3 linked regions of the Drosophila melanogaster genome follow. The protein of the gene in region 1 interacts with the protein of each later gene in a pairwise test. Each region holds a gene or a part of one and is shown in the gene's direction. Other genes may lie near its edges.

Region 1 (5,081 bases):
CACCTGTTTGTATCTGTCTTATTCGTATATGGGCAATGAAATCAGTTATCCACTCAAACCGTTTTTGGTTGAAGACTCGAAGGAAAAGTTTTGGGACAGGTATGTCAAATAATAAGTTAATTTCAATGAAATATTTTCCATCTGCATCTTAATCTTTAATGTAACATACAGGTGCCTCGTCATTGTGAACAAGCTAAGTGATAAAATGCTTAAAATCAATGCTGAGCCGGGATTTTTTACCGAAGTCTTTACTGAGCTGAAATCTTGTGGTCAATATCATCCTACAATTAAATCATACTGTGGAGGCGCCTGACGGATGGACGACCGGGAGATTATTGTCAACCTCTCATTGTCTGCGCATCGCCAGAAATTTCCGGATGAAATGATGGCGAAGTACCGTTAATAAAACTTAATATTTTATAAAACATTAGACAATTTCATTATGTCACTATCACAATCGTTCAAATCAAATAATAAAGATTAGTGTTTAAATAAATTAACATCTACGATATGTGTAAAATCTGTGTTTCCATTGCTGGGCTAATCAATCAATCTCAATCTTATGCAGAACCAAAAGAGAAGGAAAATATTCACCATATATGCAAATAAATGGTAGTTTATTATACATCTTATATACATAAATCGTTTCGTAATCTAGAAACTACTGAGAGCAATTCAATTTGGATACAGTATATCGTAGTGGCCTGGTCGATATATCAGGTAAATTCGGGGCTCGCTTCCCTCGGGGAAATCGTGGGCCTTCACAGTCCCACCTTCGCCACGGTCCAAGTACTCGACACGAACTCCAGCGCCGAGGGCGGTGCATAGAGCGATTATGTGGATGTGATCCGATTCCTTGTACATCGGCTCCACTTCCAGATGGCGGAACGCCTCAATGGTGAGGTCGCCTTCGATGAAATTTTGGTAAAAATCGGCCTCCTCCTGCAGTTTTCCCGAGGTGATCAAACGTAGGTAAACCACCACGTAGTCTGAGTAACCCTGCTCATTGAAGATCTTGTGCAACTCATCTTGGACCGTGCTGTGTCCTCCTGCATTGTCGGGGCTAACGCGCTGGATGACTTCCATGAACTGGACATACAAAAGGCTGCATAAGCATAGGGAATTCGTTTTGCATTTGTACGGCTAAACATACCGTTTCGTGAAAGTCCTCCAATGTAAAACTAGGAAATCCCAGCTGAACGAGCTTCTCCTTGGACTCCTCGGCCAGTTTTTTGAACTCCTGGTAGGCACTGGTGTTTGAGATCAAGTACTCCAAGTAGGAGTAGGCGAAGGCTCGGAAGAAACAATTGCCATCGGGGCGGGTGCGGCGAATGAACTTGTACTTTTTGGACAGATCCTGGATCTTGGCGGTGAAGATCTCGTCGCCACTGTATTCCGCATACAAGCAGGTGAGTGGCAACTGCTCGCTGACCAAGGGAGTTGTGTCGCTGATCTGCAATTATTGAAATTCGGCATTATTTCTCGGTTCATTGTCGCTATTGTGTGTAAGTGTTTCTGCAGACTCACCTCTTTTTCAATATCCCGTTTCTGCTGAATTATTAGTTCGTCGCGATTGCCATCATTATGGGTAAACGGCTCCATGTTTCTCTGAATACTGAACAACTGCGATCGGCGCTTCCTTTCAATTTACTTTACTTTGTATTCATTTGATGAACTAAAAAGAATTCCTGTTCATCATATGTATGTGTAGGCGCATCAAATGTCACACACACAGGTCTAGAGGCGAAACTCACGGACACACTGATGCTTTCGATTTTGTCGCACAGCTATCGTTATCGGGCTTCAATTCCAGTTGTTCCTTGGCTCGAGAATAAAAATAAATAAATATTTGAAATCGCATTTTACAAACACGCTAAACCATTAAAACGGTTTTTAATAACAAATATACGTACATAATTTGTGTATGTTTATTATCTATAAATTTATAAAATAAAATAAAACTTTGAACTGGTTTTCCGCTGTGTAATACGTAAGCTGGGAACTTCAATTGGAACCAGCTTTCAAAGCTTCTCGTCAGAAGATCATCGGCTGAGACTTAAGATTGAATAAGAAATCAATTCAGTTGAGTGTTTTCTTCATTGCTCAGCGAACGTTGCGCTACTTTGATAAATTAAGTAAGTCTTACTAATAGAGTACACTTTATACTAAATAAAATTGGACTCAAATTCAATTTATTGAAAATGTGTAGTTCAGTTATGTGGATATCTGATAGAGTTTAATCTTTTTGGTGGTTTCTATGTCTTGTAACATCTACAATACATTTTTCATCCATATATGTATGTACATGTGTATATACATATTTTAATCAATCAAAAAGATCTTAAAGTTCAATGAATAAAGTGTACAAAATATCACCGCCTCACGTACTTTTATGAGCACAAATCAGCGGCAATGGGAATACATTTATATATGTTAATGAAGAAGAATTGTATAATGCTAAGTTTACTCGAAACTAAAACCAGTTTTTGCCCTATTTTATTTGCAAGGAACATATTGTTAGCAAAAATGGTGAACCTTTGTGTGTAAATGGCAATTAATTAGTGTGTTATAACTTATTATTAACTCTTGCGAAAAATGGAGGGATTGCGCTTACACATAAGAAACTATTTTTGTGTTTTAAAGTAATTATACATGCTTTGTTTTTATTGACAGCGAAAATTGACCCACCGCAATACATTAGCATTTCTTATCGCCAAAAGTCATATTTAAACAAAAAAGCAATCAGGATTGATAATGAGGCGATCTAAAAGAAACAATACGTACATATGTATATATTTGCTCGGAATTTTAGTATTCAAAAAAGAAAGCAAAGCCTCACTGATAAGACAATACATTCTAGAGTTAATTAGGTTAATTGTTCGCCGCATAAACATAAACGTATTCGTATCCGCGTCTCCCTTCCATTAAAATGTGTCACTCTGTTTTGGGGGAATCACATTCACCTTTTATCCGGTTTAAGTGCGATATTCCAGCAATAACAATCATTATTATATTACCAATACTCGAGCTTTACTCACTTTGCTTACCTTCATCTTCATCTCTTTCCTCGAATAAGTGAGCTTTCTGACCTTAATTATGTAAATATGTAAAGAGCATGATTTAATTTTGCTTTCCAGGAATATGATATTACTAAATTGCCTAGTAATATGCCTGTGCATATTTTCCTGTGGTGCCCAGGACTCTTCCTTGGACAAATTGATATCGGACATCTTTAAAACGGACGAAACACCCAAACCATCATCCCCTCCCCCGCCAGTGGTGAACCCCAAGGATTCGTCCGGTAGCACGGGATCCGAAAACGGAGGATCGAGTTCAACGCAGTACCAGTCCTGTGGCGATCAAAAGGAGTGTGTTCCTCGCTGGTTGTGCGCCAATGATACGATTAACACCAGTGGCGATGGTATCATTGACATTCGACTTGGTACGGACGCCGAATGCAAGAACTATTTGGATCTTTGCTGTGATCTGCCCAACAAGGTAACACATACATAAATACCAATAAGCTTTGATTACTTAAATTAAACTATAATTTTATTTGTTAAGAGAAAAGATCCGATTTTCGAGTTTAAGCCTGATCATCCCGAGGGCTGCGGTTACCAAAATCCCAACGGCGTTGGCTTTAAGATCACTGGAGCTGTCAACCAGGAGGCCGAATTCGGCGAATTCCCCTGGATGCTGGCCATTCTCCGGGAAGAAGGCAACCTTAACCTGTACGAATGTGGAGGAGCATTGATAGCTCCCAATGTGGTTCTGACCGCGGCGCATTGCGTTCACAACAAACAGCCCAGTAGCATTGTTGGTAAGTGTACATGCCATCTATGCCATCTATGAGATCTAATTATGAACTGGCATTTAGTGAGAGCTGGCGAATGGGATACGCAAACGCAGACTGAGATCAGAAGGCACGAAGACCGATATGTCAAGGAAATAATCTACCATGAGCAGTTCAACAAGGGATCGCTCTATAACGATGTGGCTGTCATGCTGTTGGAAAGTCCATTCACCCTCCAGGAGAACATTCAGACCGTTTGCCTGCCCAATGTGGGTGATAAATTCGATTTCGATCGCTGCTATGCCACCGGCTGGGGCAAGAACAAGTTCGGCAAGGATGGGGAATATCAGGTTATCCTGAAGAAGGTCGACATGCCCGTGGTGCCCGAGCAGCAGTGCGAGACGAATCTGCGCGAAACTCGACTCGGCAGGCATTTCATTCTGCACGACAGCTTCATTTGCGCCGGCGGTGAGAAGGACAAGGACACCTGCAAGGGTGATGGTGGCTCCCCACTGGTGTGTCCAATTGCTGGCCAGAAGAACCGCTTCAAGTCCGCCGGCATTGTTGCCTGGGGCATCGGATGCGGCGAGGTGAACATTCCCGGAGTGTACGCCAGCGTGGCCAAGCTTCGTCCGTGGATCGACGCCAAGTTGAAGATTTGGAGTATTGACCCCAGGCACTATACACCCTAAGAGCAAAATTGTCACTTGAATTTGTGGGTTTTAATCTTCATGCTTCACAATGCTCTCACTTAATATATGCCCAATATGTTAATACTCAAAATTAAAAAAAAAAAAAATCTTTTTATTTTAAGCTGAAAAAATATTTTCGGAACAGTGGAAAAGGAATAGGCTAACAAAAATTGAATTCAGTTGGCAGCAATTTTGAGCTTATCGATGTCAATTTCAGTCGGAGCACCTGGTCACACTGTCGTCGGTGTGCATGGGGAATAAGAACAAGAAAGATTAGATTCGTGCAGGCCAACGTATTTGCTCTAAATAGAATATCTGCAGAAACATGGACAACTTCGGACTGGGCGGATCGGATCTAAGCAAGGGGCAGATATTCCAGGTACTGGTTCGCCTGTCTGTGGCCTCGCTGATCACATATTATTCGGTGAAATGGATGATGAACCAGATGGATCCGACCAGTAAAAACAAGAAAAAGGCCAAAGTTCTGGCTGAGGAGCAGCTTAAGAGGTTTATATTAGACTCATATAGCATATATTGTACATGTGTAAACCTTTTCCATGCAGGCTAGCCGAGCAGGAGGGCTTCAAGCTAAGAGG
Region 2 (2,870 bases), on another chromosome or scaffold:
TGCGAAAGCGATTGCCAGTTGGATCGGGCTATTAAGATTGTGTATCTGCCAGATAATGTATCATGATGATTTAAATGAATCAGTTTTGTGAAAAGATTAATTGCCATTAATCACAGTTCTGAATATGAGCTTAGCACCATTTTAATACTTTTTGTTCGGTAAAAGCAGATCCGTTCGAGCACAGAGACCATGTCAAAAGTTAACTATAACTAACCACCATCCACTATCTAGTCAACTCGAGTTTACTTTTGCTACCTTTTGACTATTCGCAGTCAAAAAGGATATTCTCCAATCCGATGATATTTGTAGCCCGATCGGAAAAACCCCTTTTAGCCATCAGACACAGCAGACAAGCCTTAACTTTTGTTTCTCTTAATTGTTGATATTCTTCTAATGTTTGATTTTTTATATGCTTTAATTTTAATTTAAACGATTTGAATATTTTCTATGTATATGTTGATGCGTAATATATCTATCGTAATATTATATAAATATATATACAAAATAAAATAAACATAAACTTTAGTTATTCCTTTTCGGTTGATTCTTTCAATTATCTATGTATTGTCTGAATAATAATGAATACAATTTGAGCTCTTCTTATCCACAACAGAACCTTAAATAGCCTATATCAGGGATATAAACAAGCGAATAGCTACTTATAACAATTAATTGCAAACGCAGCTACCTCAACGTTTTCCGACCGAAAACACGAATAAGAGAGAATAATAGTTAAACAAAGTAAATTTATAATTAAAGAAACTATTTAATATGTTTATTGCATAGCAAACATGTGTAAAACAAAAGCAAAACAACAAATAAAACGAACTTTAAAAGTTACAACTATTTACATACATATGTTAACAAAAACAGAAACTTCTCGAACATAACTAATGTCCACAAATCCAAATGACTTAGACTGAAGCGTGAGTATGCAAAAAGTGTTATGAGATCTGCCCAAAAACCAGAAATTTGTTGAGGTTTATGTGGGCGGGGCTCTTGTCATCATGAGTTCCACTTTACACTTACAAAAGAATAATAAAGAAGCCACAGTTAAATAAAATTGCGAACAGACATTCTTAGCATGTCTCGAAAGTGTTTTCTTTTGTGCTTCACAGGGACGGACAGGTGGTATCTCAGGTGTTAGCAAATTACACATTAGTTATTCAAAATGGTTAATGTTTCCGTTTAAATGTAAAAATCATCATCTCGGTCACCACCAGTCATTGCTCTGGTTCCATATGAAATTTGTGTAAAAGTTTATGTTATTTTTACGCGCAGAAATGATATACATATACCTGTTAATTGATCTATCCTAGAATACGAGAATTCACTTTTCATGGCTCGATCACAAAGTCCGACATCCATTTGGTGTGAAAGTTCTTTCATCAGCCCAAAAACTCAACTCATTCATTGAATATTATGCAAATCAGATACTTTATAAATAAATGGCTTGGTTTATTAAACAAGAGAAATTAGCATACGATACAAATATAATGCGATCGTAAGACAAGACATATAGATCTCAAATGAGCTATCTTAACGGGAGTTTGAATGATTCTCCTCTGTTGCCATTTTTCAAACGCATTTATCCACATAAAAGAAGTGACTGCGATCTGATTTTCGTTAGTTCACAGCATGTCGTCGAATCTGGAAGTTCTCTCTGCGAACTGGACTATTCTGCTGGTGGCACTACTGTCTGTTCTTGGGGGAGTTTTCGCCAAGGATGATGCCTCAGTGCCCCGGCTGATCACCCTCCAAACTGGAAGTCCCGCTCCAGCCCCGCCACAGGAAGTGATCATAGAGGAGGATCACGATCATCAACATTATCATCCGCCACACTATCCGCCAAGCTATTCGTATCCGTATCCTCAGCCACAGCCATGCGGTTGTCCGCCCGGTCCTCCAGGTCCACCTGGTCCACCGGGACAGCCGGGGCAGAAGGGCTATCCCGGCCCCAAAGGATCCAAGGGTGATCCCGGCGAGAAGGGGCCGCGTGGAGATAAGGGCCACCCCGGGATGCCTGGAATCCCTGGCCAACCTGGTCCTCAGGGTCCTCCTGGATATCCCGGAGGTTCATATCCACCGTATCCGTATCCTCCACCTCCTCCTCCTCCATCACATGGACATGGAGGCCCTAAAGGCCACCAGAGGCACTACTATAACTACTATGATGAGGACGAGTATGATTACGGCAATGAGCGTTCTTTTGGTCTGAGAAAAACCGAAGAATTCGACGACCAGCCCTTCATTTTGGCCTTTAGTGAACGCAGAAATCCGTTTAGCACAAAAAACAATAAAAGACGAAATTAAAATAACATTATTTAAAACGAAATAGCTTTGATAATTATTTCTGTAGGTAAAAAGCAGATACCCAATACTTAAAAGGAACTTTCAAAATTCTTTTGAAGAATGTCCTTTTTGACTTTTGAGTGGCTTCGTTTATAAATGACACCAAAAATCATACAAAGTGTGGGTTTATCGATTACCTATAAAAATATACCACGCACTCAGCGTTTAAATCGAAACCTCTTTACAAACTGTATATTATTAGACATTTGTTAAGTCGTTTAAAATCTCACATTACATTAGGCAGAAAAGCTGGCTTAAACTATTAGCAAACATCGTCGTCTAGGGCGGTGTGGTCGTCGCCCTCCTCCTCCGCTTCCTCATCCAATCCCGCTTGCGTGGCACCAATCTCCGCGAAATCATCCTCCATGGTATCCACAAAGCTCGACACCCTATCATCGCAGAACAAACAGACATTAGAAACAAATAACAAAGACATTCGTTGGCTGGCATCACTTTTCAAAGTCGCACTGCGGCAGGAGACCCTCCTCCTTCGAGGCGCTGAATCGGAGCAGCGTGCA
Region 3 (4,727 bases), 4.1 Mb from region 1:
TCAGTATCTATAAATACTTTATGGAGTGGGAAAGGTCTGGGACAATAAACAAATGTGGCAAAAGATACTATGCCAGTATCGCAGCATGGGGTTGATGTATTCACAGAGTCCTTGAAGGCTATGTAAATATTTACTCGTGATAACGCAACATTTGCTTGTTCTATCTATGTATGTATTTTGTATATCTATTAGCAGCGCTGAATGCATTTTTGTGTAAATTCCTGATCATAACCATTTGGCCGCCGCTCATCCGCTCGTCCGCTGATTTCTTTGACTGCCGGGCAGGCGAACAAGCCGTTTGACAGACAGCGCATGCCCAACGGCTTTGGCCGGAATGGGTATGAGTTATGGTTGGAAGTTGGCAATGCTTCTGCTGTCTGCTGTTTGTTTGTACACTCGGATGTGACAAATGGCCAATTGATAGGAACATGCAAAGAGTCTATCGAATAAAACTACGTACAAAGTTAAATTGACTACAAGACAGAATGTTTGATTTGCTGGAGTTGTCCTGTCAATAACATTTACATTAATCTTGCAGAATATTTGTATATATTTTTAAATTAATATCCAATTCATAGCTTTCTGGGTGTCTGTAATCATAAAATAGAAGACAAAAAACATGTTTTTTTTTTTTAACTAAGAAAACAGACAAAGAGACAGAAGAAGTACTGCTTTCATAAACAGTCACCATATATGATACAAATTGGTTACGGTTTCCAGATAACGCCTTTCCAAACGCTGTTCGCTTTTCGATAGGCGATCTGGCCCGGAGCGATATCAGTTGATTAGCGGCGATCCACTCGAGGAATTCGTTGTGGGCCCCTCGAAATTGTGTCACCGAGTCAAACATTCGAAAGTGGCGAAGAACAAAGGGTCGGATCAACTGGTGAGACCAATCAATCAACCCACAACCTCTGCGATACAATCTACAAGTGCGTAGCTATAAATCCCCATGCCCCACGAAAACCGTAGAGTTCGTAAATCATACATGTCCATATGATATGGTGCACCAATGTGACAAGATCGCATTTCTCTGCTGGAAATTATGACAAGTTGTATGTGCGATTTCGGCTTAATGCCGGCGTCAATCATTGGAAATTCATCAGAGGCCGCGATTGGCGGCGGTCCGCCATTTCCAATTTGGACTGCAAGGCGGATTCGCCGGAAAAAGCGAGCGAAAGGAAAAGTCGGGGAGGGTAAAAACAAATCAACAGTTCGAATTCGCTCTTGTTTTGTTCCACATTCGCCGCAGACGGAAATCTCTTATACGAGCCGGAAGAGAGCGGAAAAACTCTATCGGATTTGGAGTTTCTCGGCGATTTTCACAGAGCACAGGTGAAGTGCCTGGGCCTGGGCAGGTAAATTCAACTCCATTGTGGATAATTTTACTGAGAATTGAAAAACTTAGTTTTTAGCGCAGCATATACAATATAAACTATACTGTAGCTTAAATGATAAGTTTTAAGGAAACAAAAACATAGAAACAACTCCAAATTATGATTTAAATGTTAATTTGATAATATAAATCCTTGCAGGTCCTTTACAGCGCTCTCCACACATAAACTTTGTAAACAGTTCCACCGACGAGCGAACAGAGTCCACAAAAGAGAAGCGCTCGCTCTCTTAGCATCCACACTTACATGCAACGGAGTGGTGCGCTGCACGTTACATTCAATCGGATTCAATCGCTCGTCGACCTTCGTGCCGCGCGTTACAAGAGTCGCAGTCGCTGTCGCAGTCCGCCGTCTCAGTCTCAGTTTGTGCCCCCAGTCTCAATCCAGCTCTCGTGACAAGAAGAACAGAACGCCTTGGCCACTGGCAACGCGGTCGCGAATCAACGCAGTTACCCATCTCAGGCTTAATCGGCTGGCAGCCAATCGCCAAGAGATCCGACAGATACGGATACGCAATCCGCGCAGCGCGAGTGCAGAGATACGAATTGGTCAGGAATAAGATACGGTGCAAGTGGCACCCAAGATGCGGCAATTGTGCACCTGCGGCCGCCAGCAGCGTGCGGCAAAGTGTGTGAAATGTGCTACCTGAGAAAATGCCCACGGAGTGCTCAAACATATCGAAACAAACCAGCAGATAGAGTATCTTTTGCTGCCCCAGTGAACAACAGTGCTTGAAATTTTAGTAGAGAAATCGTTGTTTTTTGCTACAAACTAAAGTGCAAACGGAATACAATCAATATACACCTTAAGTCAACGCAAAGGCTAATTCAAAACTCTTGGAATATTTAGGTGAGTTGAGAGTGAAGAAAGGCCTAACTTGAAAACAATCAGTGCTCAATGCTCAAAGCAATCATGTCAATAAACAGGATTTCCCCATAGAGACTTTGCAATGCATAAATAAATATTGAGTTGCAAACAATCAATTAGTGCGACAAAAACAAGTTTATGTCAATTACTAACTAAATAATTCATTTATCCGAAAAGAAACCAGAAGAATATTGGCCCAATCAAATGTATCTCATCAAGGCGCATTCCAGAGATCAAAAGATATCATTTCCAACCCGTTCTCCCCATTTCTTACGGTGGCTGTCCCCTTGCCTCATTAATTAAACACAAATTAAGAAAGAGCCAAGCTGTCAACATCTGGGGCTAATCAAACTAACCTGCTGTATTTTATAAATAAGAAGCGAAGAAGAAAAGCGGCGGCAGGTCGTAAAACGCTAAGATACTGCCCTTATCTCCTAAAGAAAGATCTTTCTCCGAACACTTTGTGCCTCCGACGGCTGTTGCACACAGATTCTTATCTCGCAGATGCAGTTATGTATCTAGATATTCCGCAGTACAACCTCAACCTCGAGTCTTTGGCAACTTCACACTCCGCTAGACGCGCAACGAGGCCCCTGGATTTCATAATTTTCCCGCTGTTCTGCGGGGTAATTAAGTAGAAGTATGTTTGGCAATTAAAGTTCCAGAGACCTCGCTTTCGCTTTTTCCCCCCGCAATCATCAGCTTTTGTAAATAACTCGAGTTATTTTTCTTGCTCACTTGGGATGGTTTAGAAATTTAAGATTGAGATTGGGCATCCGATGGGTAGCGATTACCGCGAGCTGCGAAGATGCAGCCGCAATCGCGCATGCATAATTAATTTCGTGTAAAAATCATAATTACACCAATTAAAATTTGTGTAAACAAGTTGGCAGCAGGCGGGCGAGTCCCTCAATCTGCCCCAAGCGCCGTTTGGGGCGCAATCATTATGATAATACCGCTGAAAAAACTTTTCGTGGTCGATTGCGAGGGGAACTCTTTATTGCCATTGTAGAAAAAGTTGGTGGGCCCAGGCGGAATTGAGTTGGCTATATTATGGTAATGAGACGTTTGAGTATGCCTCCAATGAACAACAGATTTGCCGCAGATTTGCCCAATCTGCTTTAAACTGCGCCTAAAACCCATAATTCGATGTGCGTGAAAGAATTTAAAGCACCGAAGTTCATAGATGCATCCACATAGCTACCATTAACAGGTTGTATTCAATATTTTATTCAAATCTAACTAAAATACTAAGACAGCAAAGTGATAAAATTGATTAGCAATGAAATTATGAAATGCAATAATCGCTAGTTTTATTTCATTGCCACTGAATCCGAAAAATACGTTATTCATTCAAACGTTGCGTTGAATAAAATGTGAAATATGTTTGTGGAATTAAAAAAGGTGTATAAAACTATATTTATAAATATACAAAGTGTGCAGCTTGGAAATTCATGGGAATTATTATGAATTTATTTTGTACATAAACACACATCTCTTTCATTTACCTGCAACCATCTACCAACGAAATGAAAATGTGTATCTCAATTTTTGGGGGGAAAATATTTTCTTTTGTCAGCTGGGATTACGATGGAAATGGGGCAACAATATTTACCATGTTCTTCTGCAATTTTAATAAGGATCCATTTAAACAGCATTGATTAAACTTTGTTTTCATTAAAATCTAAACAAAGCCCATTCATGCAATGTCAAAAATAAATAATAAAATGTCTAATTAGACCATTAAATCCGATGGCAATATAACAGCCAGCTAGTCGCATTTGAACTATTTAAGTTTAATTTGAAATGCCAAGGTATATTTCTTCTTTAAATAAGTAAAATTCCACCGACGTGCGGCAATTTATATTAGTGTCTTCTTCAACGAATTCAACTTCCATTTAACCTCATTCTGTACACATCGCATCCCCCAGGTCATTTTTCAGGGGCTGGCAAACACAACAGTCAACAAAATTTATACCCAAGAAGTGTCATTCTCGTGTGCATTTCGGGCTTTTTTTTTGCCGCTGGTTCGACGAGATCGTGTCGCTGCCCACATGGCTGCCACCGAATTGCTGGCGGAGACTCCAACTCCTCCGCGTCCCCTAATTAATTAGCATCTAACTAAGAATAATGTTTCCTGCGGCCCTCGACTGTCATAACTTGGCCGCAAGTTTATTTGTTTGGCTCGCCAACCGAAGGCGGCGCACAAAAGACATAGCCACCATTCCGTGAGATACAGATACAAGTACACAGATACAGATACAGATACGGGGGAAAACTGGAGGCACAGATGCCAAGACGGCGCACAGGTGCCACATTTTCTTCGATTGCAGGGGTATAAATGCCGCCAGGAGCACTAATTCGTGGCTGCCACTCCGCATTTTTGTTTGTTAGTTTCGTTTGGCTGGGTTTTTATGGCCAGTGTTGGTTTTTTTTTTTAGTTTTTATACACTGGCGTTCTTGTGT

What was found.
Region 2: the proteins of CG5390 (region 1) and CG14089 interact in a two-hybrid assay, tested with the Drosophila melanogaster proteins (one large-scale study listed by BioGRID).
Region 3: the proteins of CG5390 (region 1) and smal interact in a two-hybrid assay, tested with the Drosophila melanogaster proteins (one large-scale study listed by BioGRID).

Annotation. Positions count from the first base shown.
Region 1 is NT_033779.5:10,303,566-10,308,646, reverse strand, and holds CG5390 (uncharacterized protein), read left to right. Parts: upstream 1-2,052; 5' UTR 2,053-2,135; intron 2,136-3,137; 5' UTR 3,138-3,141; coding exon 3,142-3,498; intron 3,499-3,564; coding exon 3,565-3,820; intron 3,821-3,877; coding exon 3,878-4,485; 3' UTR 4,486-4,578; downstream 4,579-5,081. Other genes in the region: Cdk5alpha (Cdk5 activator-like protein), read left to right, coding at 1-99, 172-313; CG4968 (uncharacterized protein), read right to left, coding at 676-1,089, 1,154-1,453, 1,528-1,602; nmd (no mitochondrial derivative), read left to right, coding at 4,811-4,992, 5,049-5,081.
Region 2 is NT_037436.4:19,279,569-19,282,438, reverse strand, and holds CG14089 (uncharacterized protein), read left to right. Parts: upstream 1-1,638; coding exon 1,639-2,313; 3' UTR 2,314-2,319; downstream 2,320-2,870. Other genes in the region: CG14086 (uncharacterized protein), read right to left, coding at 2,615-2,741, 2,806-2,870.
Region 3 is NT_033779.5:6,177,457-6,182,183, forward strand, and holds the start of smal (smoke alarm), read left to right. Parts: upstream 1-1,676; 5' UTR 1,677-2,243; intron 2,244-4,727.